Struthio camelus: one gene and its partner. The protein of the gene in region 1 interacts with the protein of each later gene in a biochemical or structural test. Links are inferred from orthologs where the notes say so. Each region holds a gene or a part of one and is shown in the gene's direction. Other genes may lie near its edges.

Region 1 (3,908 bases):
CGTAGTGAGGTCCGTCTTGCTCTCTCATAGAGTTAAACTTCTGCTGTGTCCTCACTTTTCCTGGAGCTCCTGCCTCACTCAGAGGACGGGACAACATACAAAGAATAGAGCGATGAATCATGCTGCCACTTAGGGCTGGCACACACCTCTTTTTTTTTGCTGAGGAAGGTGTCTTCTCCCAGTTGCTTGACATTGCTCCAGCAACATCTTTTCTTTGGATTGGTCAGCTGAGTGTGGCCTTCCCCTGGTTCATTTCATTGCATAGTGTTAAGGTCAACAGTCCAAATGCAAGTCTTTGCTAGCCTAGGGCTCTTTGAAAGAACAATGATGCTACACCACGATGATACAGAGTATGTTTAAAAAAAGATGTCGTGCAGTCCCTTTAGCACTGGGTCAAACAGGCGAAGGCAGACTAGAGAGAAAGAGTTCAGAGTAAAGCTGGACTTGAACAGAGTAGAAAACGCCGTGCCAATGGCATGATAATTATTTTTCACGCCTTTTAGAAAATAAGATGCAGAAATACAGAACAGCAAAGCCTTCCTACCTGCTGCAGAAAGTTCTTAGGTCGTTCTTAGCCCACACAGAACGACACCACAGGGGGTGGTCTCCTGTTTGGGGGGGGAGGGGGTTGAAAAAGCAGAGGTGCTGCTGAATGAGCTGTATGTAGCAAGCTCCTCTTCTGCAGGGTGAGAAGGGTTTGTCCTTCTCCTCCATCTAAAGAGACATGCTGGAAAAAAACGAAAGTGCCTGAAGGAACAGGAGATTTTCTTGCACCAGGTGCATATGACTTCGTGGTCCAGCCGAGAGTCGCGGGAGGTACAGAGGGGTATCGGCAGCGCCAGAAGCAGCTGCAGCACAGTGCATTTCTGCCTCCCCCTCCCCATCCTGCCAGGTCGGGCCCGGTGCTGAGCGGTATCGTGCAGCTGCGACTTCAGACAGCGAGCGTCACCTGTGGGGCCAGGTCTCAGCAGTGACCGAGGCTGAACATACGATTGATAAAGCTGTGAACAGCTGGCCACATCTGCTCTACACTTTGGGGAGGGGGGGGGGGGGGTTGCGTGTGCCGTTATGAAGCTCAGTGTCCCTTCTGCAGCGTGCTGGCCCCTTCTCGCTTGGACCCCCTCGAGCGACCCTAACGCTGCCCAGGTGCTGGGGGGGGGGCACCTCGGGGGCCCCGCCTGCCTTTAGAAAGTCATTTTCCGGTCTGGTGAAATGCGGGAGGCAGCTGCTGAAAGGAAGCCGGGAGGAAGAAGAGGCAGGAGGGGGATAACGCGGGGGCGGGCAGCGGCTCCGCGGCTCTCGCCCCGGGGTGGCCTCCCTTGCCCGCCCCCGACGGGCCGGCGGCTTTCGGTTTCCTTTCTGCCGCCGGCCCGGTTGAGTTTCGTTTCCGCGGCTCTCGGCCGCCTTTTCCGCCCGCCCCGCTCCCCCTCCGCGTTGCCGGGCCAGGGGGCTGCCCCCTTTCCCCTGCGCCCCGACGGCTCCGGCAAAAACCGACCGGGCCATGACGGCGGTGGAGAAGTGGAGCCTGCGGTGCTACCGGCGGCTCATCGAGAGCACCCTCAACCCGCTCTACATCTTGGGTAACATGACCGACTGGCTCTCTGACGGTAGGTGCGGGGTTGGGGTGGTGGGAGCCGGGCCGGCTCCGGGGCCACGCAGGGTCGCGACGGGGCTGGGGTGGGCGCCCCCCCCCCCCCGCCTGGTGTAGCCTCCCTCCCCTCGGTTTTGCTTTCCTTGGGGTAGGGGAAGGGGGTTTCTTGGCTCTGCAGCCTTGCCCCGGGGGGACGGGGCCGCCCGGTGCCGCTTGTTGTCTGCGCCCGGTGTCGGCCCCTGGGAGGTGAAGGATTTCGCGCCCCGCCGCAGGCTGGGACCGGGCAGCCCCCCTGCATCCAGCTACGCGCTGGCACTTCTTTTTTTTTTTTCTTTTTGGTCTTAATTCAGACCAAGTTTTGGTTTTGTGCCAGAGGTCAGAGAGAGGATTCGGAAGGAGGAAGAAAAGGGGGTGATGGCAGCCGCGACGCTCTTCCTGGATGTCGTCCTGCAGCTCGAGAGCCAAGGCTGGTTCAGGGGCTTCCTCAACGCGCTGGCGGCGGCAGGTGAGTTCCCGCCGACGTGGCCCTCTGCGTCGTCCCCTCCGCTCCGCCCTGTCCCCTGCCTGCTCCTCCTCTCCTGGAAAGCAATGCCCAGGGGTCCGTCGAGGGGGCGGTTGCGACTGCTGCGGTGCCCGTCTTTGCTCCGCCGGACTGGGCCGCTTGGAGGGTGGAGCAGAGATTTCAGACTAACCCTGACCTGCCGGGAGAGTTATTTGCTCCTGCTGCCTGTTCCCCTGTTTCTCTTGGGGAAAAAAACTGGGAACGAAACAAAAAAGCAGCCCCGAAACACAAACAGTCACCTGCTGTTTGCATGTGGGCAGGCTATTGCACAGCCGACACAGGATGGAAAGTGATGCACCTTGACTGTGTTTGTTGAGATCTTGTCACACCAGATGAAAAAACGCTCGGAAAAAGTAGAAGATTGCCTGAGATTGACAGAAAAACTCACAGAAAACAAAGGGAAATTCCCATATGAGAAGTAGCAGAACAACCTGGCTGATGGAGACAGTGAACAAAATGATGAAGGGATGCACAATAAAGCCTCATTTATGTAAGAAATGTTTGTGTCAGAGCACCAGAGCAGCAGACTCTGTCTCAGAGCGTTTAGAGAAGGAGCGAGAGAGCCATAGTTCTCATCAGGTCTGATTAAAAGCATCCTCTGATAGCAAAAGCTGAATGTTTAAAAAAGAGGGGAAGAGGGGCTTCAGGGTATGTGTGTGTATTAACTCGTAGCATGCGATAGCTTCATTCAACCCCAGGGTTTTAATTTAGAAAATATTTTTAAAAAGACTAGCTCAGAGGTCTTGAAGTCCTATGCTTTAAGACCTAAGTAGCTCTTAGCTGTTTGGAAATTAGGTAATAGTCCCTCAGTCGCTCTTAGTGCTTGATGAGTCAGGTACTAGTGCAATTTCCTTTGCAACAGGTGACAGAAAAGATTGTGGAGATACAAAATTGTGAAGATTTGCCAGCTTTCTTCTCAAGATGCAGGTTCTACCACAGGTTCTGGTTGATGCTTTGTTAGATATTTCAACCCCACAAAGGCCATGCAATAAGCTACTATTGCTTTTTTTACTCACTCTTCACTACAGTTAATTATGGTGTCTCAGTGAGAAATTGTTACAAGCTTTCCTAGCAGTTGGATGTCTTCCGCTCTCCCCTTAAAACGAAGTCTAGATCCAGGGCAGCTTCTTATCAGCCTGCTCTACTGCTAATTTCTGAATTGCAAAAATGTCTCTTTTAAGTACATTAGTAGCCTTCAGTTTGATGTATCTTGAGCAGAAAACACTGATAAAGTTAACCCTCTGTGACTCCAAGCACCATCCCAAATAGCTGTTCTCTTACCTTGCCTTGCAAGTATTGCCACTGCTCTTGGGCCTTAGACTAGAATTTAGCATTACCGTGCATTCAACAGATGCAGAGACAGCTGATAATTCGAGTAAAGACTTTGTGTTGGCGAGTCTCTCCACTGCCTCCTGCTCCTCCAAAAGAAAAGAAAAAGTTAAGCAAATTCCTTCTGCTCTCCCACAGTTTCTCTAGGTCCCTGCCCTGCTTTTGTGCACTTTCAAGCCTTGTCTTTTGTGCAATGCAAATTACGTAAGTCCTCTAATTATGTTTCCTTGGTGCTTTCTGCTCCGTGCCCTGCTTGCTGTTTTGCCGAATGCCTTGGCTGCAGTTGTCTCAGTCTGGGACTGACCTGAAGGCAGAATGATACGGAATATTGGAGGGGGTGGAGGCGAGGATGGGAATTTCAGGTGGTAAATGAAAGAGAAGGGGTCCGAAGCTGTTTGTGATTCGCAGCAGTGTCTTAAAATTCTA
Region 2 (3,908 bases), on another chromosome or scaffold:
GCAGCTCCTCTCCAGACAGGGACAGGGTTGTTTTCAGTGGGTTTAATGTCTTTTACAGTGTTGTATTTCTGGTACAGAAATTATAGAAATAAAAGTCATGTTTGAATTGTAGAGGATACTGTAATGGACTCAATCTGATGACAAATACCCCTAGCTGCTTGCTTTTGGCAGTCTCTGCTATTTGACTCTTCTATAACTGGCAGATCTGACGTGTGAACATCAAATTTTTCCAAAGCAAAGCTGGATAGTGGGTGCCCCAACCAAGGCATTATGAGTTCAGGATGAAGATATGCTGACCTGTCCTACCTCCGGGAAGTCCAGCTGAAGCTTTGGGTTCTAGATTCACTTAATGAGTTGGTCTAATATGGGGACTGAAAGGCAGAAGCTACTTTTAAAAGTGTTATCTTCAGTGACCTGCTTGAAGACACTCGGTGAATAAGTACCAGCACTGGAAGTGGAGGGTGAATGCCTCCTGATCGGGTGCCACTTAATCTGTTCCATGCAGAAATTAGTGAAGATTTACATGGGCTGATACAGTGCACTGAGCTTTTTCTTGCTGGACAGAGTGTAAGGTTTGATTCTGCCAAGCAGCCAGTCATTCAGATATTTGATTCTTCTCTTTTATACTGCCTTAGTTTGCAAATCAAGCGGAAGTCTTGCAAACTAAGTTTCTGGTAAAGCTGTCACCTCTTGCTGATGCTTGCCAGCCAGTCTGAGATACCCAGAATAGTTCTCCTCTTCTGCAGAAATGAGGAAGTGCTGATATGTGCAGGGATTAGTGAGATTAACTTTGTATGTGTGTGTGTGCAATAGTGGGCAAAAATGATTTGAGTTGGATCTTCATTCTGCCTGTCTCAGCCAGCTCATCACCATCTCACCCTGAGCAATCTGCAGCAGGAGTTTTGCTTGCTTATACGCTCCCATAAACTCCCGTGTTCCCATTCTCGCCACACAGCCCAAATTCCAGTTTGTGGTGATTCAGCAAATCTTGTAGCAATCTGATCCAGCAGCCACCGAAATCAATAGCAAAGCACCTGCTGACTTGTATGAGGAAGAGTATCAGTCTTGGTTTGGTTTTACACACCTGAGTAACAGGGGATGATGCTCAGTAGGGAGCAGGCCACCCAGTAGCCTAAACTTCCTGGATGGTGCTGTGCTGGTCCCACTGAGCTGTGTTACTTGCTCTCCCAGACGGGTCAGTAGGCCAGCCCTGTCAGCAACTCTACTGAGACTTCTCTAACAAAACCAGGAAACTCCCTGAGAAAGTGAAATAGTGCAGATGCGACAACTTTTTTGCCAGAGTCAGTAAAAGTCAAGGCCGGATCACAGAGTGCTCTGCATGACAGTTCCTTTCTAAGTCAAACCAATTCATAGACCAGAGCTGCCAGAAGAGGGGAGTGCTGGGCCAGGCACTGAACTTTCCGGCTGCGCCCTGCGTCTTGGCCTGGAGTCTGTGGGAGCCTCCCGGCCCGTTTCTGCTCCATCCTGCCTGCCTGGGGTGAGCTCGGCAGCCTCGGCCCAGCTGTGGGGCCCAGCCGTGTGGGTGGACCCATCTCCACCGCAGCACAGCAGCCTCTCAGTGGAGCCAGCGTTAGAGGAGAGGCACCATCCTGCGGTGTCCTTGGCTCTCTCCCTTCGCTCTCGGAGGGGATACCCTGTCCCCACCATCCCATTGCCGTCTCCTGGCTTTCGCACACAGAGGGAGCCTCTGGGAAGGCAGGAGGAGGGGCGCCTGTGGGAACCGAAACTGAAACGCCAGAGATCATGGCGGCCTCTGTGGATCTCCGGCAGCTCCAGGCCAAGCTGGACTTGAAGTGCCCATGCTGCCTGCTGTACTTCACCGACCCCGTGCGGCTCGCAGGCTGCAGCCACAGCTTCTGCCGGTCCTGCATCACCACCTACTACTGCAAGGTGAAGAGGAGCGCCGGCTGTCCGCTCTGCCGCGAAGGCTTTGAGCTGAAGGACTTACGGCCCAACCGGGAGCTGGCCGTTCTGGTGAACTTGGTCCCCAGGGAGGAAAAGGAGAAAGAGTGGGAGAAAGAGGAGGAACCGGAACCGGCCAGAGCTGGCGCCTGGGGTGGCCAGCGCTCAGCAGGGCGGAGAGAAGCCGTGAAGGTATGGCCGGAGGCCGCCCGGGGATCCTGCTAGCGGCAGCCCCCTGGGACAGGCAGGGACAGCCCAGGGCTCCTGCCCTCACCTCCCCAGGAGATCCTGGGGCTCCTGCCCAGAGTAACCCCCAGGGATACCCTTCTGCAGGGCTGTGAAAATGGGGATGAGGCTGGAACTGAGTTAACTTCATCTGTTTTCTTGCATTTTTTTTTCCTTCTGGCTACTTTGCATTTCACATGCCAGTTTAGCATTCTCATAACAGTATCACATTGAGAGGGCTGCATATATGCAAAAGGGGTGCTACGAGAGGATGCTGGAGCACTACCTGTTGATCACCGAAGGGCTAGAGACTTTAGATGTCTGTAAATATATCTTCACTTGTTTTCTTTTTCTTTCTCTCCATCTCTGTTACTGTCTTTCGTTTCCGTCTCCATTTTTCACCATTGCCTTATTATTCCTCCAGTTAAAACTAGCAATGGGCAAACAGTGTAATCCCAGCGTGTGGTATCCCTCGCCTTGAGCGCTGAGCATCCTGGAAGACAGAGCGTTGCTTCAGTTGTTTTGTATCCCAGTCCCTGTCTGTTCTTTCCCTCCTCTTTTCATAAACATCTTTAAGCGGTGTTATTTATTGCACAGGCTTAGCTGGAGACAGCTAACTGAAACATAACATTATTTATACGGTGCTACAGCTCCCCCTAGCCAAACGGCACAAAATGCCTCTGGTTCATTATCTACGTCTCTGCTTAAAAAGAAAAAAACTTTAAACAACTCCCACATTTTGATGGAAGAGATGAGCAAAATCTGACTATTGACTCGCATTATTTTAGCACTATACGCACATACGTACACACACAAGACAGTTATCTTCAATCTCTGCAGTCAAGCAGAGGGCTTAAGCTCATAATGACATTTGAACATGTAATTGTTGAATGTTGACTTTGCTGTGATTATTCACACTCAGAATTAATTGTGAGCTCTACCCCGCTTTGAACCAGTCAGTGCATCGCTAATATCCATGATGTAGGGGGTTTTATTACTCTGCTGTATAACGTAGTCATGTTTTCTCTGAGTGTTATATAGATAAACAGTCCAATGTGTCACTTTAAAGGAGGAAGAGATAAGTGAGATCTCCAAGCAACTGGAAATGACTGAAGAGACCATCCGCCTCTTGAGGGAGGATCTCAGTAAAACAAAGGTATGGATGTGTACGTTCATTAACTGCAGTTAACTTCTGTTTCCACATCCACCTGGAGAACCTGACTGACACCAGTGCAGCCTTCTAGCCCAAAGCAGGGATTTCCTTTTCGTTTCCTTTTGCTCTCATACCTCTTTTTTTTTTTTTTTCTGCTGAGTGTGGACTATGGCACCAGCTGCGTTAACCCCTGCCTTAGCTGGCGCAAGGGCCACAGGAGTTGCATGTTGTTGTCTTTTTCTGCCTATCCCAGGAGCAGCCTGGATGCTTCTGGAACCCTTAGAGGCAAAAGGCAAGGCATGAAGAGGGAATATTGATCTTTGCGAAGATGCTGACCAAAGACTGCTGGCCATAAAACAGTCAAGATCCGTAACATGCTCAAAATCCGACTGCAAGCAATGCAGGACAGTGCAAACATGTTTTATTCCTTTAAATAAAGACAGCTGCTACTGGTCTGTAGACGTCAGTCAAAGTGCATTAGATGAAGCACTAGCTTCTCATATTACACACATCTTTTCTACAAACACAAAAAACTCCGTGTTTTCTGCCTTCCAGGAATATACATTTCAGATCAAAAGCCAGATTACTAAAGATTTCTGTTGCATGA

What was found.
Region 2: of the proteins of RIGI (region 1) and RNF135, one has a biochemical effect on the other in vitro, tested with the Homo sapiens proteins (6 studies listed by BioGRID, with this or other methods). The link is inferred for Struthio camelus from reciprocal best matches to the Homo sapiens genes RIGI and RNF135.

The regions. Positions count from the first base shown.
Region 1 is NC_090982.1:9,800,694-9,804,601, forward strand, and holds the start of RIGI (antiviral innate immune response receptor RIG-I), read left to right. Parts: upstream 1-1,209; 5' UTR 1,210-1,501; coding exon 1,502-1,607; intron 1,608-1,964; coding exon 1,965-2,096; intron 2,097-3,908.
Region 2 is NC_090960.1:5,020,814-5,024,721, reverse strand, and holds the start of RNF135 (E3 ubiquitin-protein ligase RNF135), read left to right. Parts: upstream 1-1,386; 5' UTR 1,387-1,764; coding exon 1,765-2,115; intron 2,116-3,217; coding exon 3,218-3,304; intron 3,305-3,856; coding exon 3,857-3,908.